Linked DNA regions of Mytilus edulis. The protein of the gene in region 1 purifies or fractionates together with the protein of each later gene. This does not show direct contact. Links are inferred from orthologs where the notes say so. Each region holds a gene or a part of one and is shown on either strand. Other genes may lie near its edges.

What was found.
Region 2: the proteins of flap endonuclease 1-like (region 1) and cell cycle checkpoint protein RAD1-like purify together in Homo sapiens (affinity purification with western blotting; 3 studies listed by BioGRID). This does not show direct contact. The link is inferred for Mytilus edulis from reciprocal best matches to the Homo sapiens genes FEN1 and RAD1.

What each region holds. Positions count from the first base shown.
Region 1 is NC_092348.1:96,433,331-96,450,761, reverse strand, and holds the start of flap endonuclease 1-like, read right to left. Parts: upstream 7,286-17,431; 5' UTR 7,215-7,285; coding exon 7,133-7,214; intron 5,447-7,132; coding exon 5,344-5,446; intron 4,327-5,343; coding exon 4,224-4,326; intron 3,641-4,223; coding exon 3,577-3,640; intron 3,023-3,576; coding exon 2,913-3,022; intron 2,270-2,912; coding exon 2,133-2,269; intron 1,638-2,132; coding exon 1,571-1,637; intron 1,319-1,570; coding exon 1,187-1,318; intron 418-1,186; coding exon 385-417; intron 28-384; coding exon 1-27. Other genes in the region: probable ATP-dependent RNA helicase DDX27, read left to right, coding at 13,707-13,799, 14,841-14,921, 16,805-16,921. UniProt on the Homo sapiens protein: Structure-specific nuclease with 5'-flap endonuclease and 5'-3' exonuclease activities involved in DNA replication and repair.
Region 2 is NC_092349.1:72,354,713-72,371,707, reverse strand, and holds the start of cell cycle checkpoint protein RAD1-like, read right to left. Parts: upstream 6,971-16,995; 5' UTR 6,887-6,970; coding exon 6,776-6,886; intron 1,617-6,775; coding exon 1,461-1,616; intron 1-1,460. UniProt on the Homo sapiens protein: Component of the 9-1-1 cell-cycle checkpoint response complex that plays a major role in DNA repair. The 9-1-1 complex is recruited to DNA lesion upon damage by the RAD17-replication factor C (RFC) clamp loader complex.

The DNA.
Region 1 (17,431 bases):
AGGTTCCTGAAACAAACGTCTTGCCTCCTGCAAAGTTAAAGCTTATGATTATAATCAAAATAAGGACTACTTTAATATGTGCATTAAAAATCTAACTAAAATTCATTCTGATAATTTCTTATGGACACACAAAAATGTATTTGATTTTATTTGGGAAGCAATTTTAGGTTTAAAGTTGAAAATCTCTGAAAAAGCTAAATCTTGTAGAACTACTTTTTTCCCCATAAAAACTGGTATAGACAAATGAATCTGGGCATATGCAAATTATGTGATTTACTTTTATGTATATTTGTTTTAAGTCACAAATGGCAAATCATATGTCCTTATTATTAGAATTGAATGATAAAATCATTAAGGTAAAGGTGGTTTGAAGCTATAACATACCTTGAACATCCAATCTTCTGGTACTGTGTATTTCTGTAAAGTAAAATAAACGATATGCTTAAAGGACAATTTAAAAATATGTACAGCTAACAGATGCTACAAAAATGTACACATATTGAAAAGGAAGACAAATTAAGCCTATAAGATCTCATTTCATACCAAATTAAATTAATCATCTCAAGACACCATTTCATCAATTTGAAACAATTCAAGTGCATCTCTCTAACCTCATCATACCACAAAAAAGTCAGTTCCTTACATATACCAAACATAATGCTATTTTCATGAAACTTTTGTTCAATTTTGAGATAAATCAAGTGGCATTACTGTAAATAAAATTGTAGCAAGAATGAAAATCAAACTTGGCAAGCAGGTAAAGCAGTAACTTTTTTGCCTCCAATATTTTAACAAAGAGAAAGATAACACCAAATTGTTCATAATCATCAAATTTTATTTTCCAATAGAAAAACACATTTTGATATTTTTTTCTTTTCTAATATAATTTTTCAACATACCAAACTTTATTTATCTTACACATGATTATTGACCTTGACCTTTAGAATTTTAGAATTCTAATAGAAAAGATTTTATCTGATGTAGCATCTTGGGAGTAACAACTTTTATACTTAAAAAGCTGAAACTTTGTTAGTGTAATTTATAATTTGTTTTCTGAGGTTTCAGTATACGACTAACAAAAACTTGTTAATATCTATGTCATTTTGGTCTCTTGTGGAGAGTTGTCTCATTGTCAATCATACCACATCTTCTTTTTTTATATTAGTTGTTATTTTGGCCATGTTACCTTGCTGTCTAGATGTTTTAGGATTTCTTCAATACTATGATGCTGTTTGACTAAATCATATGCCCTCTTTGGTCCAATTCCTCTGATGGATTCACAATAGTCACAACCAAGTAAAATACATAGATCAATAAACTGAAATTAAAAATTTCAAGCAATTAAACAACGTGAACATTTAGAAGACATGAAAAACTCTCAGCTACAAGAAAATATAAATTTAATATTCAATTCTCTAGTGAATGAAAATTTCAATGACCAAACAAAGAGACTACTTTACTCTAGCAGTTGTCAGACATATCTGAATGCTCAGCATTACAATGCAATGAAATTATTTTTAAATAAAATATTTATACATAAAATATAAAATCCACCAAATATTTTAAATACCTCATCTTTATTCATTCCTAATTCTTCCAAAAGTTTCTGATAATGAAATTCTTTTATAGGTAATTTTCTGAAATATAGATATAACATGTAGATAAATGTACTAATGAAAACAAATGAAAATATTACAAGCAATTAGACCTTATTCTGACGCCATAAGAAAATGTTATCTGCAATTACAATAACAAACCACTAAATATCCGTTACCCTGGCTAAAAATATAAAATTCAAATTTATATAAGTCATTTAAAATAATTAAAGTTTATCATGTATTGTGGGCATGTCATTTGATGCCTGGTGCTCATACACTTTTACAAGGTCAACTCTATTTCCATTCTCCATGTTTGTCTCTTTATTATACAACACAAAACAAATCAGTGTTATTAATGGTAAATAAAATAAAATATAATTAATGGTGTCATGTCTGATCAATGTAGATAATTGTTAAACCCAACTATCTTTGAGCACATTTTTTTTATGTTATTATAATGTTATTGTCAAGATTGACTTAATATTTGCCCTAAAAGGACGGATATGTATGACAAAAACAATTTATGAAGAGTACCTTGCTTCAGCAACTGTTAGATTTCTCAGCTGTACACTGGTTCCAAACGTAAGAGCATCCATATCTTCAGTACCAGTAGCGTATACTTTACCAGCTTTAACTAACACAGCACACTGGGCTTCAGCTTCACCAGGAGCCTACAATACAATTATTATCTTAGACAATACTTCATAAGATTGTCATAAATAACATTGAAAGTCACATCAGAACAATTACTATCATAGACAAACTATGCTCATATTTTATTTCTTTGTTTTAGGTCATGGGGATTTGTTGGTTTTCCATCTAGTCAGGGAATAGGGTTTAGAAAACAACCCATATACCGGGTATATTGGAATCTAAGCTGATCTCTTCAAATATATGATCTAAGTATATACTGTCAGTATAAACAAACTTCTATAATAAATCAAGCTGTAATTTTTTAGTTTCTCCCTATTTGTTAGATCATATACATTCTGAGTTTGCTCCGGTCTTTTCTAATGATTATATAACCTTTTTGGGGGATCTTCAATGACAAACAAATACTATGTGAGATGGAAGTTGTAAATAAAGGTTGAAAAATAAGATACAGATATTTATTTTAAAGTTTCTGATGATTACCAAATTATTCTTTAAAATAGTGTTGGGTATCTGCTGGAAAGTTCCAATTGATTAATTCGAATAATCTGATCACAAAGTACTTTAGAGCTGTCAATTATAAACACTTTTATAACTTATATGCAAATAATGCAGGACTTATCTCTCTATATAGTATTTACATTGATCTTATATTAACTCTACCTCTATAAATGGGACTCCCATCAACTTCAACAGTTCTTTACATTCTTCATTATGCTGCTTTGAAACTTTCACCAGACGACGATTGAATTTTTCTATGTTTTCTTCATCTCCTGTAAATTGTATTAACCTTTGTTAAATGAATAATTGATTTACATATAAAGAAGTCTTTTTTTTAAACAAATATAATTATAAAGTTAAAGAAATTGAGAATGGAAATTAGGAATGTGTCACAGAGACAACAACTCAACCAAACGTCAGAAAACAGCCCAAGGCCAACCATGGGTCTTTAACACAGCAAAAATCCTGCACCTGGAGGTGAGGTTCAGCTGGACCCTCAACATAATGTTTACATCATGCATATATATATACAAAAATAACAAATGTAGTCAAATAGAACTGATGAAAGAAAAATATTATTCTTTCACAATTTTCAACAACTATAAAATGACAATTATTAAAAATATATCTCAAAGCAAAGGACTTATTGTAACTAGTACAAACTAAAAACAATGTTAGATTGGTGTGTATTAATGAAGGAATACAACAATGATCTTAAAAGAAAAACTGGTTTGCTACATTAATGATACTTATAATATTTTTCTCTAAGTTTTTACATTCTATGAAACTTTTTGTGATTATATTACTTAGATTTAACTAGTATTACCTGCTTCCTCTGCTTTCTCTAATGCTTTCTGTGCTTCCTCTCTTCTTTCTTTCCTCTTTTCTAACTGTAAAGCAACATGCATATACATTTTAACAAGGTATAAGCTTCAGTAGTATAATTTAAGATTAGTACTTTACACAGAACTATGTATATATAAAGTAATGTTAATGAGACAACTATACACCAAAGACCAAGGAAAACAACAGCTCATCATGCGGTTTTTAACAGTTTGCAAAGCAAATTGTGTTTTTGATTTTTGAATTCTTAAATATAATTTACTTTACTTTTTACAATTCACATAAAAAAATAGTGTTTTCCTTTAAGCATGGGCGTACCCTGGCCTCTTGTAATTTCTACTTCCATATATATCAAAAGAATTAAGAATGAGATATGCTCATTGTTGAAGGTGATACAGTGACCCATATTTCTTCATTTCTATGTCATTTCGACATTTGGTAAATTGTGGAGAGTTGTTTCATTGGCAATCATACCAAACAATTCTTATTATAAATAATTGTAAAACTTGGTATCTATCCAATGCATATTTTTGCAAAATTTTATTTCGTAAACAATGAATTCTCTCTTAATTTAAATGTCATAACTTATAAATAAACAATATCAAATATATAAATATTATACTGACTAACCTCCCCTGACTTCATGTCTGGAGGTTTGCCATCAAATACATAGACAGGTTTTATGCCATGTTCTAACATTCTGATTGACCTGTAGAACATACCCATCAGATGACTGTAATTGAAAAAAAACATATTCTAATATTTTTTATATAAAATCTGAGAAATTGTAGCCTGAATTTTCATTCTTTTTTTAAATTAACAATGATTAAGGCAAATTTTGAAATTTACTCACAAATATTTATCATCCTGAAAACAACTAATAAATTGTTTCATCTACACAACAACCAGTGTGGATTTTGTTTTTTCCACCTGCCCACAATGGGAAGCCCACCCGTGCCCACTCCAGCTATAATCACTGTTTTTGTAAAAATATTGATAACAAATGCTTATCTGATGTCCACTGTGGACGGATGGACAAAGCAAACTCCACCTGAGCTGTAGTGTATGTTTTTAATTCATAATGAGAAAAATCAATTGAACTTGTATCAAAAACAAAGAAATTGATTGCCTGATACACATGTACATCCTAATGTTCACAATTGTAAATATGACAGCTTTTGTAAGGAGATTCACAACTCATGTGATAAAACACACACTACTACTAGAAGATGTCCGCAAAATCGTGGTACAATTTGGCAAGTGTTGAAACAAAGAGATTTAAATTTCCCTGGGTGTATGTCAACTGTCATGCGCAAAAGCTTATAAGACACAGATGGATAACAGTCTCCGATTTTTTAATATTTCTCAAGAGTTGTCATTTTCTGTGGAAAAAAGTATTGTTTCAATGACAAATTTAGAAAGTACAAAACACTACATATCATGCCTACAAATATTTCCGATTTTGTATGGTTTTGATGGAGTAGCAGCTCCAGTAAATCGGTCACTTCCTTTAGTAGTATAGAATAAAATTGAGAATGGAAATGGGGAATGTGTCAAAGAGAGTCTCAGACAACAACCCAACCATAGAGCAGAAAACTGCAGAAGGCCACAAATGGGTCTTCAATGCACATGATGCAGCAAGAAACTCCAGCACCCGGAGTCCAATTTAAGTTTTGATTCAATTCCGTAGGCATGAATACCCTTATTAAGGAATAATATTTAAAATTTATTTCCATCTATAGAAACTAACCTTGTTGTTTCACCATCTTCATTCATCAACTGGCTGCCATCTTGTCGGACAGCTATAAGAAACTGGTAGATACACATGGAGGCATCAATAGCAACTTTTCTTCCTACAAAACAAACAGGTGTTCAGAGTTAGATGAAATAACTTTCCAAAGAGCTATTGCAGGTAAAAACATGAAGTATATTTTAAAATAAAACAAAAACATGTACTGTGTTAACATCTACAAGTGAAGAGACGTGACAAAAATTCCATGTTTTGATAAACAAAGAGCTGATAGCAATATAAAGCCATTCTGTTTATTCCAAATTAACTTGATCTTAAAGGCATTACAAAAATTATTGCACATTTAAAGAACTGTCAAAATTGGTTAGAGCGTTTTGGAGTTAATGTTTGACATGTTGGCGACGGAGGGACTGACGGACAATGGTATACCATAATGTCCCCTTAATGAGCATATAAAAAGACGCCAGCTAAAGCCAGACTGCTTTATACCTTTATACCTATATCTTCGGGTCCTTAAAATAAGCCAATGGCTTCTACTGACCCCTGATCTTGGAATGTAGCAATGCAATTTCTCATCGAAAATGATCACATTATAATATATTAATATATCTTATATTTATAAAAATAGAACTTATTCAGGTGTGCACAGCTCAACAATTAACATAAACATATAAATTTATACGGGTTCCAATTCTCGCCATTCAAAGTCTTCTTAAAATCATTCAAAGTCTTTGTTAAATCTCCATTTCCATTCTAAATTTTATTTGCTTGAAGTGTTTATAATTTATTGTGACTGCCTATTTGAAAAGTATTTGCATTAAGTCCAGGTCACACCTTAACGGAGAGCGTGAACAGTCGCCGAACCAATAACGTTCTTTCAAACCGTTCATATCAATTAGACATCCGTTTTTTATCTGTTACGATGTCTGTTCATTATTGTTCATTTCCGTTCCATGTCTGTTCAAGGTCCATTTTATCCATTGATGTCCATCCTCTTTTTTGGAAAATTTTGAGAATGTTCAACTGATGCAGTGTCCGATGTACATCCTGCAGGTGTCCGTTTTACACGGTACTCGTCCGTTCTGTGCCAGTTTTGAATCCCTCACCTGTCCATTATTCATCCGTTAAAGGTCTGGTGCACTCATTCCCCATCTGACTTCTACTGGATGTATAACGGATAAAACGTATTGTGAACAGACCTGCATGTTTTTAATGAGCACCATATTGAATGAATTAATTAGTACTTGGGTGGTGGGTCTTAGACCCTTAGTCTTTTTGCAGTCTGCGCATACCCACAAATAGTCAAATTGCCGTATATAGGCTACGATTACCCGAATCTGGTTTTATAATAAAATGGCATTGGATTGGGAATGAAACATGAAATATATACGGAAACTATCGATAGTATGGGGATTTCCATTTATATTTCACGTTTCATTCCCATTTTGATGGCATTCTATTATAAAACCGGATGTAGGAACGCGAAGCTTACAAATGGCAATTTGACTATTCGTACCCCTCTCAAGTAAGCAGAGACACTGCCTTGCATATTAACAATGTAAATGTAGATGTAGATGCTTTACATATTGCTTAAACATGGCTCCAGATAGTTCCACCTATATGAAAATGTTGTATAATTTGAGATCTTACCTGGATTGGAATAAAAAGCGATAAGGTATATGGCAGATTGAAAATAAATAGATTTAAGGGGAGGGGGCAATTAAATCTAGCTCAACAACACTGGTCTCTGGTCAACAAATAGTTAATACTTTTTTTAAATGAATCGCACCAAAATAATTCTTTATCTCTTGTTCTTTCATACAGCCAGGAGCATGATCACCAAGCAATTTTGTCAATCCTAAAATTCCCATGATTAAAAATAAGTGATGAGTTAGCAGCTTTCCCGCCAAATAAACAAAAACAATGATTTACGGGAACCAGTTCTTTCTAAATATTTACGAATAAAAACCAATGTTAAAACTTGTTGTCTGATTCTTTTATATTCAACATGGGAATGCAGTATAATTATTTGATAAAAATAAAACAATTTTGAATGAAGAAATATATTCGATTTTTTGGCTAAAATGATATTGCTGGAAATTTGTACAGTATATCTGTTGACCAACAAAAAGTTTATCAAAATATAACAACACAACGTTCTGCATAAATAATTAATAATAAATAAGCTTTATTTAGAGTCGGCAAAGTATACAAGCAGAGACAACATAAGCTCTAATGAGCTCTTATGAGCTCATTTGCAACATACAGTCTCTTCTTTTTTTATATTTTAACCGACATACAAGACATTTATATCAATACAACACACACAGGCAATAAATTACCGTGACAGCACAAAATGAAGCACTAAAAACATGTATATTAATAATAAGCAGAATATAAGCATAAAAAGCTAGGTATTAAAGCTAAAAGCATATAAGTGTAAACTAGGCATCATTAAATGCTGGTAAAATAAACGGCAGCATACAATATCCCCAAATAGGGTATGCCGATCTAACATGTCTAAATGGTAAATAATTTTAGCATCATATATTAAATAAAAATCTGCACAAACTGTGCAATTACAGCCATTTCCATTCCATGACTTCCTACTAAAAAGCGCCCGGAAGCGCCCGGGAAAAGAAAAAGCGTCCGGGAAAGAAAAAAAGCGCCCGGGAGAATAAAATAATAATATTTTATAATAAAAAATGTTTTCCTGAATAAAAAAATAATCATTGCTTGTTTTGTCCTTAATATAAAAGGGGATACCTACGATGCTACATCTAAAGTGTTGTTGCACTTTTACAATATTTATCTGTGTTTTTGCATTTTTCATTTTGATATCGTTTTTGCAAAACATGTATTTTGATGTCTAACATTTTATAAATTTTTAGCATACAATGATCCATTATTACCTGTCTTTCGAAATAGTATTCATAAAAAATTATAGTATTGTTAAAATTGTTTTATTTCAAATGTCTATTATTTGAATTTGCAAAATACTTGTCAAAAATTTAAAAAAAGAACAATGTGCATTACTTATTTCATCGGCACAAAGTTGTCTCATACCAATAAAAAATCTATATATTTTCCCCGGGCGCTTTTTTCTTTTCCCCGGGCGCTTTGTCTTTACTCGGGCGCTCCCGGGCGCTTTTTTAGTAGGACCCTTTAAAACATATTTAAATTGGCTAAAATAAGCAATTCTCTAAAATCATCAGGTAAACTATTCCATAAAACAGCAGCTGTTTATCTAAAAGAGTTAATAATCAAGAATGTTCTCAATATACAGCTGAAATTTACCCCAAGGAACTTACTTTGAATAAATTAAATGTATACGGTAATATCTGTCCTTTGCTGGATTTAGATATTTCGGTTTTAAACGGGAAACTCCACACTAAAATTTACGACAAGAAAAATCTATTGTTAATTTTCCATTCTAAGATGTGATGTTCCTTTGACACCATCTTACGGTGTTTATATTTCACAGCTCGTTCGCTATGCCCATTTATATTGTGACGTTTTTTATATTAACGAACGCAATCTATGTATTACTGGTAAATTATTAAACCCGGGATATCGTTACCATAAATTACTTAAAACCTTTACTAAATTTTTCCATAAATATAAAGATTTGGTTTTGAAGTTTGCACATCCTCATTTTTACGGAAATCAGTGTTGTTAACCGTGCCCGGAAATTTAGAAATGATCCATGTAAACTTGTCGCTCCTTTAAATAAACTTATTCTAAAAGGTTACCTATTCAACACTGTAATAAGATCATTGAATATTGTTTTTATTGGTATAAATATTGATTTTGTTATCAGAAAATTAAAAGCTAACTAAATATTACTAGTATGTTACCCCTAGTTTTTGGTGGGGTTCGTGTTGTTTATTCTTTAGTTTTCTATGTTGTGTCGTGTGTACTATTGTTTTTCTGTTTGTCTTTTTTATTTTTAGCCATGGCGTTGTCAGTTTGTTTTAGATTTATGAGTTTGACTGTCCCTTTGGTATCTTTCGTCCCTCTTTTATATACATATACATATTCATATTCAAGAATCTGCAATCTGTCAATACCTGTAACTTGACATTGCACAAGGTCATGTTTTTCTCTAGCTGTTTATGACGTCTTTACACTAAATCCATTGGATGTTGGATGTGTACGGATTGATAGCTTAGTCTTAGATATAAAAAAGAAGATGCATGATTTTTTTATTAGTTGTTAGTGGCTTTGAACTAGCTGTCCGATAACTGCGAGTACTCTCAGATCTGTACATTGTGTCTTTTTGTGTCTGGATGTATAAGTACCCGGCCACGTCCACTTGTATTTTTGTCCATCTGATGAGTTAAGCCTTTTTCAACTGATTTTTATAGTTCGTTCTTATGTTGTACTGTTATACCACTGTCCCAGGTTAGGGGGAGGGTTCGGATCCCGCTAACATGTTTAACCCCGCCATATTATTTATGTATGTGCCTGTTCCAAGTCAAGAGCCTGTAATTCAGTGGTTGTCGTTTGTTTATGTGTTACATATTTGTTTTTCGTTCATTTTTTGTACATAAGTAAGTAAGTAAGTAAGTAAAACTTTATTTGGATTCGGCATATTGACAAACAATACAAACATAAGCTCTAATGAGTTTTTCACCGAATATAAAAACATATGCAATAACAAATAAAATAAGGCATGCAGCATGCAATAAATAATAAAAAGCAGCACCAAAAATTAACTTTAAGCAAATAGCATATACATGTAACTTGCAAACTACCAAAACATATATATATATAAGGCCGTTAGTTTTCTCGTTTGCCAATGAGACAACTGTCCACAAGAGATCAAAATGACACAGAAATTAACTACTATAGGTCACCGTACGGCCTTTAACAATGAACAAAGACATTACCGACCGTGCGAGGGCTGAAAAACCAGTCAATGTCGTTAAACACTTATATCATCAAGCCAATACCGCATAGTCACCTCATAAAAAGCTCCGAAATGACAATGTAAAACAATTCGACAACCACTGAATTACAGGCTCCTGACTTGGGACAGGCACATATATACATATACATGTATATCATCATAGATACCAGGACTGTATTTAGAATATACGCCATACGCGCGTTTCGTCTACAAGAGACTCATCAGTGACGCTCGAATCCCAAAAAGTTCAAAATGTCAAATAAAGTACGAAGTTGAAGAGCATGACCAAAATTCCTAAACGTTTTGCCAAATACAGCGTAGGTAATATAATGTGGCGGGGTTAAACATGTTAGCGGGATCCGAAAACTCCCCCTAACTTGGGACAGTGGTATAACAGTACAACATAAGAACGAACTATAAAATTAGTTGAAAAAGGCTTAACTCATCAGATGGACAAAAATACAGTGGACGTGGCCGGGTACTTGTACATCCCACCAACAAAAGACACTAGGAACAGATCTGAGAGTACTCGCAGTTATCGGACAGCTAGTTCAAAGCCACTAACAACTAATAAAAAAAGCATGCATCTAAGACATAATTTTCAATCCGCACACATCCAACATCCAATGGATTCAGTGTAAAGACATCACAAACAGTCATAGAAAAACATGACCTTGTGCAATGCCAAGATACAGGTATCGACAGATTGTATACTAAACAATACTAAACAAATATATGAAAATGCATGAGTTCAAAATTATGGCATTTAAATGAAGACATATGTAATGCTTTACTTTGATATTTACAATATACAGATTAAACTGTTATAGCTTGAACTTGAACATTATATGAGTGTACTTGGTGTCGCAGTTACTGAACGCTAGTTCAATGTCAATAAAAACTAATAAAACACAATATGTTTAAGACTAAAATATTAATCATTACACACCCAACATCCAATGGATTTAGGCAGCAACCATTTGATTTTCGGGGGGGGGGGGATATGGATTTTTTTCCTGGACATTACATGATTACATATAGTGGCAGCTGAGGGTGAAACAAAAAAAATATTTCTCAGGGTCAAAAACAAATTTATTATTTTCTCCAAAAGCAGGAAACAAACTTTTTTTTCCAAAAAAAACCATAGCCCCCCCCCCCCCCTAGAAAATCAAATGGTTGCTGCCTTAGTCAAATATATATAGGAAGCGATAGCTGGCATTGATTAGTTTGTCATAGTGTTCATCTTCGATTAACAAGGCATATATATCTTTATGTATTGCGTTATAGTAATCTCATTTGGAATCGATTTCTTGGGGTATTTGCAGTCAAAGTGCCAATGAACAATAGATTAGTCAATAGTCAATTTTGTGTTAAAAAAAAATTAAAAAAACAATTAATTATAACGTTTAGTGATGCTCAAAAAGCTTTTGATATTGTGTGGCACTCTGGGCTAATGAGAGAGATGTATAAAGGTGGAATGACCGGTGACAATTGGTTACTATTCAATGAGTGGTATAAGAACTTGGAGTCCTCTGTAATGTGGCAAAGTATCAAATCAAAACCAGTTCACGAATTCCAGGGTGTTCGCCAGGGTGGAGTTTGGTCCCCCACTGCCTATAAGGTTTTCATAAACACACTACTGAAACCATTTGAAATGAATGGTCTTGGTGCTCACTTGGGTTCTATTTACTGTGGAATACCCACTGTTGCCGACGATGTTACTCTGATTTCCAACAACCCGTATGAGATGCAAACAATGTTAAATGTCTTGTCTGATTATATAAATAAACATCGCTACATAATTAGTAGCCAGAAGTCATGTACTCTACAATATGGAAGTAAAACTGAACATTTATTTACACTGAATGGTCAACCTCTTCAAAATTCTGTTAAAGCGACTCATCTTGGTATAGATCATGATGTCAATTCTAAATATGGTGTGAAAGATTGTGTACCTAATAGAATTCAGACAGCTAGGAAAACAGTGTATGCCCTCATGGGAGCTGGGCTCCATGGTTTGAATGGACTTAACCCTAAAGTCTCTATGCACCTGGTGAAAATTTATGTGCTACCCAGACTTTTGTATGGATTAGACTCCATAATACTTTCTGTCTCCGATATGAAATTACTCTCCGTATATTACACCAAGCTTTTAAAGCAGATCCAGCATTTGCCAGAGCGCACTTCCACTAGTGCTGTCTACTTACTTCTCGGTCAAATTCCAGTTGAGGCTGAATTGCATAAGCGTATGCTGAATTTTTTCGGAAATATCATCAGAAACCATGGTTCTGTCGAGCGTGATGTTGCTATAAGACAACTGGCTGTAATGCCAAGGGATTCAAATAGTTGGTTTGTCAAAATTATTGACTTAACAGAACAGTATGGCTTACCATCACCACATGATCTTATTAATGTGCCTCCGGGGAAAATCGAGTGGAAAAATATTGTAAGAAAATCTATCTCTTCGTATTGGATTGATCTTCTAAAATCTGCTGTAAAATCAAAGTCATCTCTAAAGTTTTTAAATGTCAATAATATCACTCAAGGAAAAACCCACAATGTCTGGGATAGCTGTGGAACAGAGCCGTTTACTTCAACTATGGCCAGCATAAAAGCAAAAATCATGTGTGGAACTTATACCTTACAGCATGACAGAGCTAAGTTCGACAGATCTGGTGGAACTAATTCAGCATGTAAATTATGTGGCAAAGGAAGTGAGGACATTAAACATTTCCTTCTATATTGTGAAAAATTGAGAGACATACAGGAACATTTCCTAAATATTATACTAGTAAAGTTATATGACTGTGTTGATATGGAAGTGTATAATGAAATATTATCATCAGAAGACTTACAACTCAAAGTTATTATTGACTGTTCATCCTTTGAATTCCTAGACGAATCCAACATCTCTAATATTGAATGTGTATCTAGAGGTTATTGTTATAGACTACATCAAAGAAGAGCTTCGCTACTTCAAATAACCTAGTTATCATCATTATTCAATTGACAATAATCTTGAAACTGTGATTAATTCCATGTGAAGAACTGTTTTGAACTGTGCAAGTAGAAGTATGAATAAGCCAGGAGTGGAGTCATGTACATATTTACCTTAAAGTTTATATATTAAATTTCCCATGATTTAAAGTAAATTTAAATTCCCATTAAAATATATATTAACTTCCCATTAAAGTATATATTAACTTCCCATTTATGGTTACTATTTGTATATACCTGGTTAATATAAAATTCATGATGAAGCCCATAATAAATCATGTAGTTAAGGTGTGATTGAGCCCCTGTATATAGCAACTCCCAAGTTACACCGTATGGTGGTGCGCCTGACAGAGGCGGAACTTACAGATTAGGTAACAGGTAACAGGTAACAGGTTGCGGTGCGCTCTCTTTTGTTAGATATTCGGTCTTAGGCTTTACCAGTTGCATTAAAAATATGGCTGAACTCCGAAAACTTGGATTTATTGCTACAATCGAAGAGAATGATTCTTTACATCTAGCACCAGAAAGTTCTTCTAGCGAAGATGAGGTATTTACGGAACAAATATTTATAGATATAGTATGGATAAAAAGTTTAGAATGCACACAATCCACTGGTACGACAATACAGGATCTGAAAAATCAGATTACTGTCACAGAACAGGCCATGTGGTTTGAATTTCGAACCTTGAATGACATCTGTGGGAAAGATTCGTTTAATCTCAAATATTCCAGGTTGTATTCTTTTCAATTAAATTGCATTGAAAGTATGTAATTATTGAAAATTCTGACATTCAACTGCATTAAAAAAGGGGGGGGGGGGGGAGAGAGGGGGGAATTTCAATTACATGTATGCATCTAAATCTACATGAGTACAAGTCAAATCGGCACCCATAGAAAAATTCTAATTGGTACCGGGTTAAATCGGCATATAGTCAAATCGGCACCTATCTAAAGTCAATTTGGCATCCAATAATATTTGATATTTATATATATGAATAATTCTAAAAATGTATAATATTTTGGGGGGGTTGCCTGGTTGATTCTATCATGCAACCCAATTACATGAATTGACATTTTTAAAACCATTCAAACATATCAAATGAGAAACCAACAGCCTGATTATGAAAAGAACCATAAACATAAAAAAAATATGAAACAGGCAAATTCGTAGCGTGGCAGGGTTAAACATCCCCTATACATTAGACAGGGATACGATTGACTAACACAAAAAAAACCTGTGCAAAACAAAAAAACAATCAAATTGAAAACAAATGGAAATGGTGAGGCTGCTCATAGACCAAAACTGTATTCAAATCATTACAAATACATGTACTTAAATATAAGTTATTACCATTTTAACTTTTATTGCTGCTCTTCATCTGGACAGAAGCTGGAAGATTTTCAAAGATGTTATACAACAAAAAGACTATTGGAATATGTCAATGGTTAAAGAATATGTAACTAGAAAAATGTAGAATCTGACTTTCTCATTATACACGTAAACCATATAAACATGTACACATTTAACTCTTTCAATGTCATGTTGATTTATTACTCTCACTATAATTTTGATGACTTTCTTTTACAGGCTCCAGCAGGAGAAAAGGTCAAAAAGAAGAAAAAATCAAAGATAAATAGTTTTAACCAAAGTTTCTCCTTTACAGATCAGGTAAATTTAGTCTGATTAACTGTAATGTCGTGTTATATACATGTATCATGTATATTATTTACAAAAATATTCTTTGCCAGTTATAAAACATACTCAGGTAGTTAGGGTATTGTTGTACAGTTTGTTGCTTGTTAATCATGTAAGATAGCATATCAGTATGTGACATATCATGAAAACACAATACCGTAAGTTAATATTTGTCTGTATTTTAACAATGACATTAATAAAAGGAGACACTATACTGGTGTATACCTGTCCTTCTTTTAATGTCTCTATCCAATACAATCATGACAATATATCATACCTGCCAACTGTCACTATTTGCAGGTGATTTCCCCCATGGAGGCTCCAAAATGGAAATTTTAAAGCTGTAGGCTTGTAAAAGTATAAAGAAGCCAAAAAACAACATAGACATGTATTTGTAGGCCCCCTTTATGGTTTTGTAGGATTATAAGAGCAATCTTGCACTTAAAACCCCCATGGGCATTTTGAAAAGTTGGCAGGTATGATATATCAGTTGCATTTTTATCTGACAGTACTTAACTACAATTCAGAGCTTCCTGAAAGATTTTATCAAGCTCCACATGAAATGAGCATGATATATAATGTGATTCTTTTTTCAGATCCATTGCTCATTAACTTCATGATTACACAGTACATTAATTATATATTCTTACACACAATAACCGTAGACATGCATGACATTTTTGTTGTATTTTTGTCTACAGAAATTTTGAAACTTTACAGTACACAAATGATATTCCATATATAAGAAAAAAATGTAAAATTTCTATTAATAATTTTATATTGTAAAGAATTAAAATATGCATATGTATAATATTGTCAGTAGTATAGTTTCATTGGGGCAACTACAGAGTGATGCATGTATGTGGTATGTACTTAAAAATATGCCAAAACACTTCTGGTTGGAAAGGGTTCAAATTTAATGCCTTTATGTATCTAGTGTGTCTTGCTCTCTGTGCTTTAAGGGCATACGATACAGTTTTGGTCCCGCATTTAAATTATGATGAAAATTTCCATATAGGCTATTTTTTTACCTGATTAAATCAAATATGTAATAAAAAATATCCCTTCATTGTTAATTTTTTAGTAAAATTTCAGATATTTACTCAAAATTTGTGGACATATTTTTCCTTTCGACAGAAATACATAGCTTTTTTGTTTTAAAAGATAAACACAAGCTGTTTTTTTCTGAATTATTTGTAATTTCTGTTTCATATAAATGGCCTATAAATTTGTGCATTTTATTTTTACAAATAACTCATTCATCAAATGATCCTGAATGTAGAAAAAAATGTCAATTTTTCCAGTACATTTATCCAATTTTAAAAATTTGCACTATTTACATTTTCATGAAAATTGGTACAAATAATCTTCATACGAAATCAAACCAAATGTCATTTTAAAAAAGAGGGGTCCATGAACTCGTTTTCAAGTTAAATGTGTTCAAATGATAAAAATAAGTCGAAAAATGAATCTTTTCTCAATATGTCACAGTTTGACGTTGTGAAAATAACATTTGACGTTAGTAACGTCATTACCTCCCCTGTAACTGTATCACATGCCCTTAATCAACCCAAACAGCTCATTAAGCAGTCATGCATGAAATATTTGCCCCTGAACATTAAACAACATTAAAAAATCTCCCTTTTCATAAAAAAAATGCTGGAAACTCTTGTTTTACACAGGCTTTGTCAGTTTGTCTCACAAACATTGAGGTGCTTGACCCTTTGCTGAATACTTTACTTTTTATCACTAGAAACACAGGTAAAGCTTTGAAACTGATTGTATTAAACTTTATTTTCAACAATTACATCTCAATCTTTCAACTTATGAAATGAATTTATTTTTCTTTAACATAGTTTGATCCACAATCAGCCTTTAATTTTGACCATGCCCTTAAATTTGCCAAGAGAAAAAGGGAACCCTCCACACTAGATGAGAAGATTGCCAAAGTCAGAAAAAGGAATAAAAAAGAGGTAAGAATATTATTTCTTCTTCCTTTTAAACCATTATTAAAAGCCTTAATAAAAAGTTAAACATCTGTTATTTCGGTTTTGTTAACCAAAAGGAACAGAGCTAGAGATCAGTTTTTGATGATATGAAATGAACGCTGTGGAATGTTTATAAGAACTATTCAACCCAGACCAAATGAGGAAGATGTAATCAGCTATATGTCACTATACAGCCTTCAACCATGAGCAAACCAATATTGTATAGTTACATAAGCTATAAAAGGCCCCATCCTGACAAAACATTTCAAACAACAAAACCAAACGCCTATATTATGTACAAAAAATCATTTCAATCAGTTATGATAGACAAGGACCAGTGGCAAAAACTGAATTACAGAATCCTGACTATGAACAGGCACATACAGAATGTTTGGGTGTTAAACTGGTTTTTGATGGCTCTGCCCCCTTTACCTTTTACATAAACATCATTATAGCAAAATGTACAAATCTTTTAGAAAAAGGCTTGACTCATCA
Region 2 (16,995 bases), on another chromosome or scaffold:
GACGTACGTTACTCTGTATCTTTATACTTGGAGAGCAGGGTTCACTTACAAAAAATTTCGTTTAAATTATACAAAATTATCAACGTGTGTACAAACTTTTTTGTAAACGGACGTTGTATTCTATGTACAGTAGGGATGGCCTTTTGTGATCCGTAGATCAGGATGATTATGTTAAAGATGCCTTCGACCAGCATTGCTGTATTATTTATATCTGACATGAACCAAAGGTGGCAAAAGCCTGTAAAGTGGAGAATATTTGGCAGTAAAAGCTCCCAAGTTTTCCAAACAGATCATTTATAAATTGCGGATGTAGAATATGTACCCGAATGGAATAGACTACCAGACAATCTCGTGTGTGCTAAGACAATTGAGAGCTTTAAACTTCGGTGGCTCTCACAATGTTGGATTAATTTTCCAGCGCCTCTCTCCCGTTGCCACTGATGCCATATATACTGGCCCTGCAACGTACTTATTCAGATTCAGAATTGAGTTCAAGTCTTGTAGCATTTTTATTGGAAACCCAGACACACACAAAATTTAAACACTCTAGGGACTTTTTCTACTAGTAATGTATCTCTGCCCGGACATATTTTACCAGGACTAAGTAATCGCTTATAATATACAGAAAACCTTTAGGTAGAGGTCAGCGTACAAGGTACGTAGTACAGAATATTAGTGCAAGTTAAAACTCTTCAAAGCTCCAGGCATATACACGTTGAAAATATGCGGCACAGCTCTAAATTTTGATATTTGAAAACAAAGTCGTCTTGCATATGAATTAACTTCACATTCTACATGATATTTTTTTTTCAAAACTTCCTGGGACTATTATACTACTAGTCCCATCAACTTATTAGCAAAAGCAAAACAGACAAAAATGACATTATGCAGATTTTGTATATTATGTTTCTTGTCACTTGTGTATACAATGTACTATGTTTGCATTTTAACCCGTCAGGGTTTCTTATTTTTTTGCAATATAAAATAAAATATTATACCTACCTGCCTACCCATGACAAAAAATATACCGAGCCAAATTATTTTTTTTGGGAAAAAAATAAAATATTTTACCTACCTACCTACCCTGTTTCAAAACATATGGTCGGAAAAGGGCAAACAAACAATATTTTAATTTAGGCCTTATGATAACAGCTCATGCAGAATTCTATCAAACGCACCAACTGTGACACCTTGAACATACATGTTATTAAGATTTACCAGCGATGGCTCACCTATTATTACTACATGTATTTGAATAATCACCTGGTACAATTGGCACATTCCAGTAAGCTTGCATGACTGGGGACATTTAATCCGATAATTACGTTGTGTATTAAACAAACAGAAGGTGAACATTTGATCAACATAAAGGTAGACCATGGCCACCATAAATTTTATGGTCGACATCCTTAAGACAATGTCACGGGTAGTACTGTATTAATACATGTATAAATACAAACCAGTAGCACTGTTAGATTGATTTTAAAGGTGATCTGGTCTTCTTTCATCACAAATTCGTGGAACAGAGCTTCCTGAATAAAGGCATTGGCCTGTACACACTTAGAATCTTCAACTGTCACCTTAAATCCCATAGAACTGGCAAACACTGTTGCTGACTGAAAAAAAGAAACCAAATACATGTATGATATATGACTTACTTTTTGATTTCTTACATGTAGTACTTTATGAAATAACTTTAAATAATCCCAGTTATTCATTCAAATTTGTTAAAAATACAACTTTTCTGACTACAATTATTGTTTGGTTGTTGTGACAATTCACTTTTCTTTCTTATTCTCCAACTTTCAAACATTCAAATTCTTAAGCATACAATCGTAGAACTTTTTAAAACTTAAACATAAAATAGAAGGTTCTAATATTATCCTGATTATAATTTAAAAGAAGCATGGGAAAGCCAGACTTAAGCTTTATACAGGGCAAAACACTTTAGTCCTCTTAGGGTGTAATCATAGTAATTTAGACTTCTGAAATTTCTTTGAAATAGGGGGTGGTGGGGTTTGTCCCTGCACCTGCACAAGTACAGTATTTTCAATGCTGATCTACATTTTGTACAACAGGCTAAAATGAGGTGCACATGCATGTTTCTCTCTACACTTGCTTCATCCTCTAGAAAGACCTGTTGTTGAGTGGAATTTTAATGGCTGCTTTATTATTGCATAAATTTATCATGTTTACATATACAATGAATGCATATAATATAATTTTATTATTGTATTCTGCATTTACAATATACATGATATATATTGTTGTTGGCTCTGATTCTTACTAATGTTGATATACTACGTGTACTGTATATGGACCATAATTTGCTATTGGGCTCGTTTCCTATAACTATAGAAAAGTGATAAAAACGTGTATTACTGTAAGAAAAGTTGTAACTACATCTAAAGATGCCATTATTTTTATCAACATACAAGTGTATGCTACTCTTCCCTAGAAAAAAAATTGAAATTAACAAATTTTAAAGATTATATGACCGTATTTTTGTGTCGTTTCTCGCGTTACTTTTCGCTTCCGAAGTGCATAACGCTGACTGATTTATAGATAATCGTCACCGGCATTCGTAACTTTTGCTTTCAAATAATAAAGAACATCGACCAATAAGAATAGTCAGAAGAAAATGCCGAGAACTATAAGTATTTCTGTAACAGGTGTAAGAACACTAGCGTTACTTTGGTTTCCAATTTCGTAACGCAAATTTTAGATGATGTAATCTGCTTTGTTGTAATAGAATTCTTTCTAACAATATGCAAATTTTTGACTTTGTCAGTAGTATACAAATAACTGTAAAAGAGGGACAGTCAAAGTCATAAATCGAAAAAAACTGACAACGCCATGGCTTAAAAAGAAAAAGACAAACAACAGTACATATAACACAACATAGAAAACTAAAGAATAAGCAACACGAACCCCAGCAAACTGATTAAGTCCAGATAATGAAGAAATCTTGCAGCTAAACCGAGCAAATCCAGATAATGAACAAATCTTGAAGCTATCTCTAATCAAGACTTATTACACTTATTACACTGATTATGTGATGATTATAAACATATAAAATGTGCAAAATTGTCATATTGCTTCCATAAGGTAAACATGCCTTTTCAATGGATATTTATGCAAGTGAGTTTATGCTTGTGTTCTTTAAATGTTGGCCACCATTGAAAAAATAAAAGCACAGATGTAGTTTGTAGTTTTAAAATATATTCTGGTAAATGATTCTTAAACTCTGGTTTAACTTTATTGCTAATAACATAAATTAATAAAACAGGCTGCTATTTCTTTATTTCATATTTTACTGTATAACAGGTCTTTTTCAAAACATTTTTTTTCAAAATTTCTTTGCAGGCAATGATTTCAAGAAAGGGCCAAAGAAGATTGACCTGTGAACTGCAATGCAATGACTAATCATTATTAGAATATCAATAAATTGAATTAAAACTAAAATGTGTAATCTTGTTTAAAAATATAAAACATTAATGAATTGTCACGATTAAAGGCTAAAAAACTGCGACAGAATCCATTTGTATCTAAAGGTGTCAAGGTTCCGACATTGTACATTGTTCTATTAATTATGGGATTGCAATGCAAAGTTTTTTTTTGTTTGTTTTCTTTATTGAAAGACAATCATATAAAAATTAGACATTATATGCCCTAATAATTAAATGGTTGACAAGTTTTAACTGACGTCTGTCCATGTTACATGAGACTGGCTGATGAACCATTGATATTTTACTGCCTTCAGTTATTTTTTCTGTTCATATCAGTTGCCTTTTTGCTCATATATATTATGCTACATATGTAGATCTGTCAATATTAGGAAAGAAACAATACTTCTGCAAGTCTGAAAGTATTTTTAAGATAACTTTAATGCTTGATGATTTTTTTCAATTAAATTTTATGCGATTCTACACCTTTAAGGTAGCAAAATTCACTGTTTTGAATGGTTTATGATTTTTTTTATGAATGACACATTGCTCTTACATGATAACAGTTCACAATTACTCACTTTAAATTAATAAAACTCTTTGGAACCTTGAATAAGAACATGTCTGTCCATGTTACATTAAATAACGTGCAAGACCTATTGAACTATGCAGAAATTAATGATGAGACATTATCTTATCCATGGATGATATTTTTTGAATAAATACAACCCATAGCTATTAAAAAATGACTGATACTGATGTTTTTGGCTTAGTTTTTAATTTTCAATGGTTGTCACAGCAAAATGGGCACAGAGCAGATATGTAGCCAAATATGAACTCTCGCGAGATGTTCAAACAGGTAAATCAGAGATGATTTACATTCTAGTTTTGTTCTTCGTAATAATTAAGTAAGAAAATGTCGTTATCGTTATGCGTTACATTTCAAACGAAACAGAAGTCCAGTTATTTCCTTTTTTTATTAAAATTGTTTTTGTCGTTAAGTTCTAATCATTTCCGGTCATACGTGAAACATGTGACTTACATGTGATCACGCCCTTACGGCCGGATGTATGAAATACTAGGTCTAAACATTGTTTTTGTTTCCAACGGGATGTTAGCAAACATAATCTGTAGACTTGTTTCGTCTTGTTTAAAAAAGGAAAATACAATTTTCAAAGAGATTGCGCCGGGGGTCTATTATTTTTCCTATGTGCATAATGTTACATACGATATTGTGTGAAAATAAATGCCCAATGACTTGACAAAATCGATTTCAGATTTGACAGACATTATAACACACTTTGTTTCCTGATAACGATGTAAAGGGTCCTTTGAAAATTCAATAGACATTACGTCTCTTATCATTGTGCCGATGCTCGTTAGATTGATTTTGTTTCAGCAGTAAATATTAATGGATATTTTAGGTGAATAAAGATAATTTAATAAAAAATACATGTTAATATACCGTTACACTTGGAATGTACAAAGTTGGTATCTTTGTCACAATTTTTAATTATTTTTTTTTATTCATGTTCTGCAAACACTTTTCAGAAACGCAATAAACTTGTCAAAGGAGAAGTAAACTTTTACCATGCATGACTTGAAAGGAAGTACTTTATTGATTTTAGCCCACTAAAGTAGGTTAAAATGTGGAAACCATGTAGATGGTGTACAGGTCACAAATATCACATGGTGCCTATTTTAAAGATTTTAATTCCAAGTTAGAGTTTTTTTCTTTACTGGATTTAAAGAATTTTACATTGCCAATGATTTGGAATTAATTGTATATAACTGGAATTTCAAAACCAAATATAAATACATTTTTTTGGCTAAAACATCAAGATACAACGATTATGGTATCCTGTATCAATGAAGAAAATATGGAAATTTCTGAATAAATTGTACTAATTGTTTTCAAAACAAGCACATATTTAGGAGTTTTATAATACTGTTACATTTAAGATGGATTTTAAGAAAAAGTTTACTGTTCAGATTATTTTAAGCAGATTTTGCAATAAAATAAAACTAAAGAAATGCTTTCGGTTTCTTTTGGTTTCCTCATTGTTCCTGTCGCGTTTAAAAAAACTTTAATTTAACATTGAAAATAGATTTCAAATATTAACATGAAGCAAGTAACACTATTAATGGTGTTCATTTATGTCTTTTGAAATATATTGTGCAAAATAAAGAAAATAAAGATTGGTTTCCTGTTTGGTTTCCTGTCACGTAAACGGTGAATCAAAATGTATTATTTTTTTCTTGAAAAACTCAATTGTTCCATTAATACTATTCTAACACCAACACAACCCACAGAATAAAAGTTAAAGTTTTAGAACTTATAAAAAAGGATACAAAAAGAAACCAAAGGCCGAATACCAAATTATGGTCCATATACATTTACATGTACACTGTAATGTGTATTGTTGTAATTATCAATAATCACTGATGTAAAGGAACAGATTTAAAATTAATTTTTATTAAAACATTTTTAATGCCACTGTGTGACTGTAAGCATATCAACAACTAACATGAGTTGCTAGACACTTTCAACTTATAACATGTATAAATTGGTATTAAAGGTATATAAATGTCTCAGAAAAAGAAAATTTTTTTTAACATTCCAACAATATTCATCATGTTCATGATATTCTTTATACTTTATTTTTAAAAATGGGAAAGATTTCTGAGCTTCCTTTATGTTCAGTGGCCACACAACTGATGGATTTCTCAATGTTAATAGACTATTTTTATATTACCGACTTTTGACTCCAGTTTATATTATTTTTCGACATCTTGGTACTCAGTCAATTTTAAACATGATTAAGAGCAACATAAAGAAGTTACATCACACATTTAACCGATTTGAGGGGAAATTTTACTATTTTCCAATGAGTTTGTTGTGTAAAGAAAATATGAAGTAGTATATTTTCCCTGAGAATAGTACCGATTAAATGTTTGATGTTACTTCTTTACATTGATTCAGAGTAGATCTAAGGTCAATTGAGCACAAATTTTACAGCTGAGTACCCAAAGTGTAAATACGTTTATTCAGCACCTAATGGCTAATGAAAAGTCAAATCGACACCTGGTCAAATCAGCACCTACAAAAGGCTACATTTACATGTATAGTCAATGTAGCACCAGGGACTTTCATTAAGTAAACACTACTACTAAACAGACAGAAAGTCACAGGCAGAAAGTCGAAAATTTGATAGGACATAAAATAAGCTCTAATGAGCTTAAACCGACGGATTTGACCACATGCCGAAGTGACTATCTGTGACTGTGTGTTGTTTGTGTTTCACAGTTAACTTTGATCTCTCATTTACCTCTTTAAAATGAATGGCTTTCAGAATGTTCGATACATTTCTCGCATTGTCTATTTTAGCTAAAAGTACATATCTATCATCATTTTCAGGCTGTTGCGTTGAAAGTGCCATAGTCAGATAAATTTGGTTAAAATTGTCAGAAAAATCATTTTTTTGTTTTCCCCGCCATTTTCAATTGAATTTATTTTCCTTCATTCAAGGAGAGTGTAAAATTTGCGAGTAAAGGAAAGATTTGATCACCTGATCACAAAACCCTTTATTTTAAGAAAATAGACTGGAATTCTATGTTGATAAACAAGAACACATAATTAGACGAGTAATTTTGTTAAAAAGGGAAAAAGTTGTTAAAAAATGTTTGAATAGGACTGAGACTACTATATATACATGTAACACAGTATATAGTCATCTCAGAATACGGGATATAGTTGTACAAATTATACTTTTAAATTTATTCTAATTTCTAAAGTCTTCAATCAGAGACATATATAATTAATACATGTATTATATGTCTCATACGTCTCTGCTTCTATACACCGCTTGTCCATACAGTGACAGATCCAGGAGGGGGATTCCGGGAGTTGTGACCCAATTTTTTGACGATCAATGGAAACTATACCCCCCCCCCCCTCTTCTTGTCCTGAGAAGGGAACTCCCTTTCAAAATTGCTGGGTCCGCCCCGGTATATCAATCCTTTAAAATTTCGTACGATCTTTTGAAACAGTTTAACCTATTGATTTACGTTACAAACCTTCTCCACTCCATTTTTTTGGTTCACCCAATCATACGGCGTATATATAGAAGACTACACTAGAACGTTATACCGGCGGGCAGGGTTTATTTTTTTCTATGCGAATACTTGAAAATATTTGGATATATTTATCCTTGTAATTGTGCATGTTGTTTGGTTTCATCTTTTGAGTATTGTGTTATAAGGTAGTCAGTGGAGGATCCAGAGGGGGGTCCTGGGGGTTGGAACCCCCCCTTTTTTGGACGATCAATGCATTTGAATGGGGACGTATAGTTGGACCCCCCTTTATCATGGGTTGGGAACCCACCCCCTTTTTAAAATGGCTGGATCCACCCCTGGGAGTTCAAATGGTGTTTTTTTTATAAAAAACAAAGAGGAGGGAAAACTATTAATACTGAAATAACAGTGTTCTGATTTTGAATGTTTTGATATAGCTGTTTTTTATATTATCTTAAGTTGGCTAGGTTTTTTTTACGATTAGCATTCAGATATCTCTTCAAAAAAGTCTGTGCATGCATAAGTCTAAGCGCTTTTGTGATTATAACATTATAAGGTATGGTAAATATATGTTACTGTCATTGGGATATGTGCAACTGTACTAATTTGCAAATATAGAGACAAATTATATAACCTTGGCATCATTGTAAGAATGTTCTGCTTAGTGTGAGCATGGAAGTATTCTATTGAAGATATTACATGTATAATGAAATTATAACTCCGTGTTCCTACTTAATTTCGTTAGTTAACGGAAGTCACACGTAGGGATTACTGTGGCGGAATGTAGGACAGAAAGTCACAGACAAAAAGTCACGGACAAAAAGTCACCGGACAAAAAGTCACAATTCATTTTTTCTGATTATTTTCTTTAAAGAAAAAAAGCTTATTTCTACAAAAATATTTTTGTATTTTTCTTGAACTGTTGTATATATATACCAACTTTGTAAACAAAATTAATCAAAAATATATCAAAGATAATCAAATAATTGTTAAAAAAAAACAAAATGTCAAAGTGACTTGGCACTTAAATGGCTTCATGGTGCCAAAAAATATATCATTTGCATGATTAAAATTAAATGAATCTTGATTTTTCAAGCATAATGACACAATTCCTAAACTTTAATTTGAATATATGTATTAAAAAGTAAATATTTCAAGATATTTCTATTATATATTCAAACAATTGTCAACAAATTATTTGTGACTTTTTGTCCTACCAAATTTGTGACTTTATGTCCTGTGAGTAGTAGGGACGGTTCAGTTTTAGGCACCCCCAAAACACAGGGCGCTAGGGCGCTGACGTCATATGCGCATGCCCCGCCCCCAATATGATATATGGGCATATACTAGCCCTAATGACGTCAGTGTAAGTAAGGAAGATGAGTCATACCGAATGCACGCCGTCCATATTTGGTCATGACGCGGTGCGACCATGAATCATCAGGATGCAAGATCAGGGCATGACTCACTACATGATAATACGGGCTATATATCAAAACGGAAGCACCTGATGTCGGATTATGACTCTTGGACCACCATATGATGAATCCCATATATGGAAAGCGACCACAATACCCTATGACCATATATGGAAATTATGACCAAATTTGGTAAAAAAACTTATTTTCACTCAAAAATCGAAATAAAATACATGATCATATATGGAAATCGACAAAACAACCTATGACCATATATGGAAATCATGACCAAATTTGGTAAAAAAACTTATTTTCACTCAAAAATCAAAATAAAATACACGATCATATATGGAAACCGACCAGATACCCTATGACCATATATGGAAATTATGACCAAATTTGGTAAAAACTTTATTTTCACTCAAACATCAAAATAAAACACATGTCCATATATGGACAACAGGTCACGTGATCGTATCGAGGAACGTTAACTCTGGTACAAAACAAGGGAAGCAACTCTGTATATATATCTCTCTCTCTTGGATTGACAATTCAACGTTCGAGGCAAGGTCACATGATCATATCGAAGAACTCTGGTACAAAAAAGGGAGGCAACTCTTCAAGGTGTGAACGTCAATCACCGATTAATCGTATCGTGTTCGGGGCAAATAGAAAAAAAAATACCAACGCAGATGTCAGTTTCATATACATTTACTACATTCATTCGTACAATGCAAGCAGTTTGTCGTCGTTACTCATCAAGTCACTAGGGGAAAAATCTTTCACAATGTCTTCCATGCTAATGTTTCTATATCTCATCTTCACGAAATGTACACAATAGAGTCCGCACGTATCGGATGATCCCGGTTGCACTTGAGTCGTACTGAATCTGTATTGAGGTCCATTGGCGATGAGCACGTTCCTGAAGCGCGATGATAATACTCCGGAGAACGTCCGAGTGAATCGAAGAATTCTGCCGGTCCCGTGGATGGAAAGTGAAACGCCACCCAATGCTTCCCCGGTCCATCGCAGGTATCCGTGTTGACGACATAGGTCATCGGTCGGTGCGAGATGTCTGCGGGTAACTCTTCGGCACAACGTACGTCCACCGGTAACCCTTCCAACGCTTCTTCTAGTTCTGCGTCGCTCATGGGAAGTATGTCTTCGTCCGTGTCGTATTCGGAGGTATCCTCGCTGCTGTCGAGCCTCCTCGCCTTGGAGATCCTTTCCTCCTCCTCCCTGCTGCACGCATGCTCCTCCAGTCCGCGGCGGTGTACAAAGACCAGTCCGCATTCTTCGCAGGCGATCAGATCGTTCGTGGTCGTTTCTTCCGTTTGGGTCGTCTCCTCCTCCTCTCCCGCCCCCGTCAGGACGTTCGTGCGCAGTCTCTCCGTCTCGGGGGTCTCCGGTTTGACGTCGACAAGGAGATAACCGTGTCGTCTTCTCGTGGCCTCGTCGAATTGTCGCAGGAAATGTTCGGATCGACCCGGGTACATCTGTCGTGCCAGGGTGGCCACGGGCTGTCGATCGATCGGATTGTCAAAGAGGACCATGTAATGACAGTTTCTTCTCTGTGTGGGGTCCTTTCCAAAATACAGGTTCTGGTAGATGGCGATCACGGAAAGATTTCGATGGTGACTTCCTTCGGTGAAGAGATCGTTGATGCGGGTGTCTTTGCTGGCGAGGGTCATCAGATCGTCCAGGACCACCATGTTGCGCACTCTCGGATCGAAGAAGTCGTCGCTCTCCAGGTCGGCGGGGATGCCTCTCACAAACTCCACCGGCGGGTGCACGCCGTCTCGTACGACGTCGTAGAGGGGTTGCCACCTCTTGTACAGCCAGACGATTCTCTGCGGTGCCGGTTCGCACATCGCTTCCGCTTCTCGGAGGACTTTCGCCACGAAATGCGTCTTGCCGCAAGACGTCGGACCCGAAACGATCATAGTAAACGGGTGTCGAAACAGGAACGGACCGGACGGCGGTTGTTCTACCACCGCAGGCACGGGCGGCGGCTGTTCTACCACCGCAGACACGGGCGGCGGCGGCGGCGGCGTATCCCCATTACCATGCTGATTGCGATAATGTCTCAACATGACATCTCTCCTGGAAAACCGTCTATGGCAGGTAGGACATTCCATGTTTATACATGTACTTCGAAATCGAATCCGCTATCCTCTTATAACTTTTTTCTAAAATGCAGCAAGCAGAATACGTGATCGTCCTTGAATCGGCACACTCGTAATCTATCGTCTCTGACGGTGATTTCCAATAGTGTCACCTCGCCTCCTCTCGTCGTGCGGTAGAGTGGTCTCTCGAAGACGACTTCCATCGTCTCGTCCCGTCGCACTGCTACGGATTGAAGTAGTGGTAAATACGTGTCTCTGACGTACGATTCTTCCCTCACCACGTCGGAACATAGGTAGACCCTGCGCGTGGGTATTTCGAAAGTAGGCACGAACGTCATTTCCAATAGGGCACACTCCCACGTTCCATTCGTTAAGTGTGATCGAGGTAAACGTACTGAGAACTGACCTCCCCTATTCTCGGGAAAGAGATCGAGCGAGTCTCCGCTATTGACGAATAAATAAAACTCGTCCATGATTAGATGAAGCCCGTGTTCTCTCCTTCTTATAAAGTTTTGAACAATACCGCCGCCGCCCCGCCGCCCCGCCGCCGCCGCCGCCCGTGTCTGCGGTGGTAGAACAGCTGCCGCCGCCGCCCGTGCCTGCGGTGGTAGAACAACCGCCGTCCGGTCCGTTCCTGTTTTGACACCCGTTTACTATGATCGTTTCGGGTCCGACGTCTTGCGGCACCGGCACCGCAGAGAATCGTCTGGCTGTACAAGAGGTGGCAACCCCTCTACGACGTCGTACGAGACGGCGTGCACCCGCCGGTGGAGTTTGTGAGAGGCATCCCCGCCGACCTGGAGAGTGACGACTTCTTCGATCCGAGAGTGCGCAACATGGTGGTCCTGGACGATCTGATGACCCTCGCCAGCAAAGACACCCGCATCAACGATCTCTTCACCGAAGGAAGTCACCATCGAAATCTTTCCGTGATCGCCATCTACCAGAACCTGTATTTTGGAAAGGACCCCACCCAGAGAAGAAACTGTCATTACATGGTCCTCTTTGACAATCCGATCGATCGACAGCCCGTGGCCACCCTGGCACGACAGATGTACCCGGGTCGATCCGAACATTTCCTGCGACAATTCGACGAGGCCACGAGAAGACGACACGGTTATCTCCTTGTCGACGTCAAACCGGAGACCCCCGAGACGGAGAGACTGCGCACGAACGTCCTGACGGGGGCGGGAGAGGAGGAGGAGACGACCCAAACGGAAGAAACGACCACGAACGATCTGATCGCCTGCGAAGAATGCGGACTGGTCTTTGTACACCGCCGCGGACTGGAGGAGCATGCGTGCAGCAGGGAGGAGGAGGAAAGGATCTCCAAGGCGAGGAGGCTCGACAGCAGCGAGGATACCTCCGAATACGACACGGACGAAGACATACTTCCCATGAGCGACGCAGAACTAGAAGAAGCGTTGGAAGGGTTACCGGTGGACGTACGTTGTGCCGAAGAGTTACCCGCAGACATCTCGCACCGACCGATGACCTATGTCGTCAACACGGATACCTGCGATGGACCGGGGAAGCATTGGGTGGCGTTTCACTTTCCATCCACGGGACCGGCAGAATTCTTCGATTCACTCGGACGTTCTCCGGAGTATTATCATCGTCGCTTCAGGAACGTGCTCATCGCCAATGGACCTCAATACAGATTCAGTACGACTCAAGTGCAACCGGGATCATCCGATACGTGCGGACTCTATTGTGTACATTTCGTGAAGATGAGATATAGAAACATTAGCATGGAAGACATTGTGAAAGATTTTTCCCCTAGTGACTTGATGAGTAACGACGACAAACTGCTTGCATTGTACGAATGAATGTAATAAATGTATATGAAACTGACATCTGCGTTGGTATTTTTTTTTCTATTTGCCCCGAACACGATACGATTAATCGGTGATTGACGTTCACACCTTGAAGAGTTGCCTCCCTTTTTTGTACCAGAGTTCTTCGATATGATCATGTGACCTTGCCTCGAACGTTGAATTGTCAATCCAAGAGAGAGATATATATACAGAGTTGCTTCCCTTGTTTTGTACCAGAGTTAACGTTCCTCGATACGATCACGTGACCTGTTGTCCATATATGGACATGTGTTTTATTTTGATGTTTGAGTGAAAATAAAGTTTTTACCAAATTTGGTCATAATTTCCATATATGGTCATAGGGTATCTGGTCGGTTTCCATATATGATCGTGTATTTTATTTTGATTTTTGAGTGAAAATAAGTTTTTTTACCAAATTTGGTCATGATTTCCATATATGGTCATAGGTTGTTTTGTCGATTTCCATATATGATCATGTATTTTATTTCGATTTTTGAGTGAAAATAAGTTTTTTTACCAAATTTGGTCATAATTTCCATATATGGTCATAGGGTATTGTGGTCGCTTTCCATATATGGGATTCATCATATGGTGGTCCAAGAGTCATAATCCGACATCAGGTGCTTCCGTTTTGATATATAGCCCGTATTATCATGTAGTGAGTCATGCCCTGATCTTGCATCCTGATGATTCATGGTCGCACCTCGTCATGACCAAATATGGACGGCGTGCATTCGGTATGACTCATCTTCCTTACTTACACTGACGTCATTAGGGCTAGTATATGCCCATATATCATATTGGGGGCGGGGCATGCGCATATGACGTCAGCGCCCTAGCGCCCTGTGTTTTGGGGGTGCCTCAAACTGAACCGTCCCTACTACTCCTGTGACTTTTTGTCCTGTGTCTTTCTGTCCGTTTACCCTGTGGCTGTATATAGCTTGATACTGTGAAAGGTTGACACCAGTGACAATAAACAAGAGTGGCCGTCTTTGGTCAAATACTGGCATCAGATAAGTATTTCCTGTGACATAATATAGAGTTATATCCTCTTCTCGGTAATATATATTTCAAAGTATAAAAATGACTTTCTGCATTCAAAATAAAGTTTTGAGCACGGGTAATCGTCTGAATAATCAATAAAAATACTAAGCTGAGACTATTACTACACATAGAACTGTTAATTATAACTGATTGCAACAATGTCAAATATCGAAAAGAGCGGAGAACAAAAAGTGAGTTTTGAAGAGTTCTCGACGTTTTCCAGCCATGAATCAGCACCACTCAGGGTTGATTTACAGGAGACGTTGAAAATTGAAAGAATTATTGTTAAGAAATCGACACCAAAAAAAGTAAGTTATGATAAAATTAATAATAATTTATATTTTGTCGATTTGTATTGTCTGCTTGCTCATTGCAGTCATTCATTATACGTATTTTTCTTTTAATAATACTTTGTAGAAAATGATATTACTGACGATATATCACAGGCCTCATTTACGCCAAGTTACTTATAAACTCATTACCCGTTATATTGCTGTTACTTTAACTTCGCCTAGTGAACACTGTCAGGATTGGTCAACGGAAAAAAAGTCACAGGAAAAAAAGTCACAAAACCTCTAGGAAAAAAAGTCACAGGAAAAAAAGTCTCAAGAAAAAAAGTCACAGAAAAAAAGTCACAATTAATAAAATTATTTGAAAGAAGTATATAAAATGTATTTTAAGAAGTATGTTGGAATGCACATGACAAAAGTGATTTTGTATATCAGCTGTATGAAATAAATAATTAAAAAAATTGCAGTTTTGTTAAATAAAAATAATACTTCTTGTAAAAGTGTATCAGATCAATTATTTTTAAATTAGAGCTTTTAAAATTTATATAGTTAAAGCGCACATCGATATTAACAGATTTCGTTTTATTTATGGCTTAATAAAATAAAAAAATATATTCTTTTCATCATTTAAAAAAAAAAGAAATACACTAAAAAAAATGATAATGGTAAAAGTGTAATAATTTATGTTCTCTTTTTCAAAACAAACTCTTAAACAAACAGGATAAGCCATTTGTTTCCTTTTCATTCATGATAAGCCCTAGTTGTTTTTCATGGGTAGGGCTTCCTTCCAAAAGAGGAAGTGAAAGGTCTACAAAAAAGGGAAAGGTGCCACAAGAAGCCACTAATTAATCTCAACAGTCACTGTCAATAAATGTTGTAATTACATAATTATTGTTAATGGGGATGCTTTGTTTGTTTAACATGTAATTGAAGGATTCTCATGATATTGGTAAAAACACAGCTATAGAAACCTGTTGGTGAACGTCTGCTGTTGTCTGTTCTATGGTCGGGTTGTTGTCTCTTTGGCACATTCCCTATTTACATTCTAAATTTTATAATAAAACAAAAGGATATGGGGTACAAAAAACACAAAACCATACTTGCACATGAACAGCAGAAAAAAACCACACACAGACAAAAGTCATTACCAATATTTAAGTGCAGATCATATGACAGTTTTCATACAAAATATAAATTGTGACTTTTTTCCTGTGACTTTTTTTCCTGTGACTTTTTTTCCGTGACTTTTTTTCCGTGACTTTTTTTCCTGTGACTTTTTTCATACATTCTCGGGATTACGGCACAGATTGAAACGAAACGACAGTCATGATCAGTCCCTTACATAGGCGGATCCAAGGGGGGGGGGGCGTGGGAAAAATTTGGTTGATTATATAGGGAATCATTGAAGCATGACTGGAGCGGGCCCCCTCTTAGGTCAGTCAGCGGGCCCCCCTTAGGAAATGTTCTGGATCCGCCACTGGGCTTAATCAACTAAAATTTTATTTTGGAATTGGTGCAATCGTATACTTGTATCTTAAAATATCAGGCGCAAATCATTGGATATACAAGGTCGTTTGAAAAGAGTTGCACACATGTATCATTGCCAATTGGACAACTCTCCCCAAGAGTACAAATGAGGTACAGGTCAGTCACCGTAAACCCTTCAACAATGAGCAAAAACCATACCCAAAGGTAAGCTACAAAATGCCCCCCAAATGACAATTGTAAAACAGTTCAAACAAAAAAACTAAATGGTCTGATTATAAATGTGCAAAATAATAAAGAAAATTAATACCTGACGTCTGTGTTTCTCTTTTGGGGTGTATTGTATCTTGTAAAATGGCATGGCCGTCCAAATACTGAGACAACCTGGAAATCCAAGTCCAACATTGATCAACATTCTCTCCCGAGTATTTTCCACAGAGAATTGACCATCACCGTTTACTCTCAGCAGCCAATACATTCGAGGATGCAGTTCAAGATCGGGTTAGACCCAACGACAGAAGGGATACTACCTATTGCAAGCTTTCAGTAAGAGAAAAAACTTTTTATATGAAAATTTTCGATAACATTTTATTTATTTTTGTTCGTCGTACCATTGAAATTTATGTTTAAAGTGACTTATAGACCCAAAGGGTCGGGTGTTCTAATTATTGTTTTTATATCTCACTGTATTATATAATATTTTGTGAAAAACACATGTCACTATAATAAATAATTTACTTACTTACTTACTTACTACCGTAATACAATTTGACTTGGACATTTTCAGATATTGCTTTCAAACCGACAAAGATGTGATATTGTATTGCGCAGATGACTTTTCCAAACTTCCATTAAGTGAGAGCTGGTATTATAAGATTGACAAAAATGGATGTGGCTTAAAAATTAAATTTCCTGTTCGACTAACACCAAAACTGAATATGAAGAAAATATATGTAAAATTGGAGAAAACGTCGTTATGAAAAGAAAGCCTATAGAAACAGTCCACTTGATATCGGTCAGTGGCGTGTTTGTTTAAAATGAAAATATAGAATTTTTAAAAATCTGCTTATTGTTTTCATGCATGCACTAGTAAAGCGAAACAACGAATCAGTACAGACGTTTTCTATGGTAACAACGTATGGTATATAACAGCGATATGGTATCCGATATTAAAACTTAACAACTTAACACATTTAACCAACATGTGTGTTACATATTGTTGATTACAAGTCAAAGAAATTGATTATTTGATTTTTTTTATCCTGCTTTTCTTA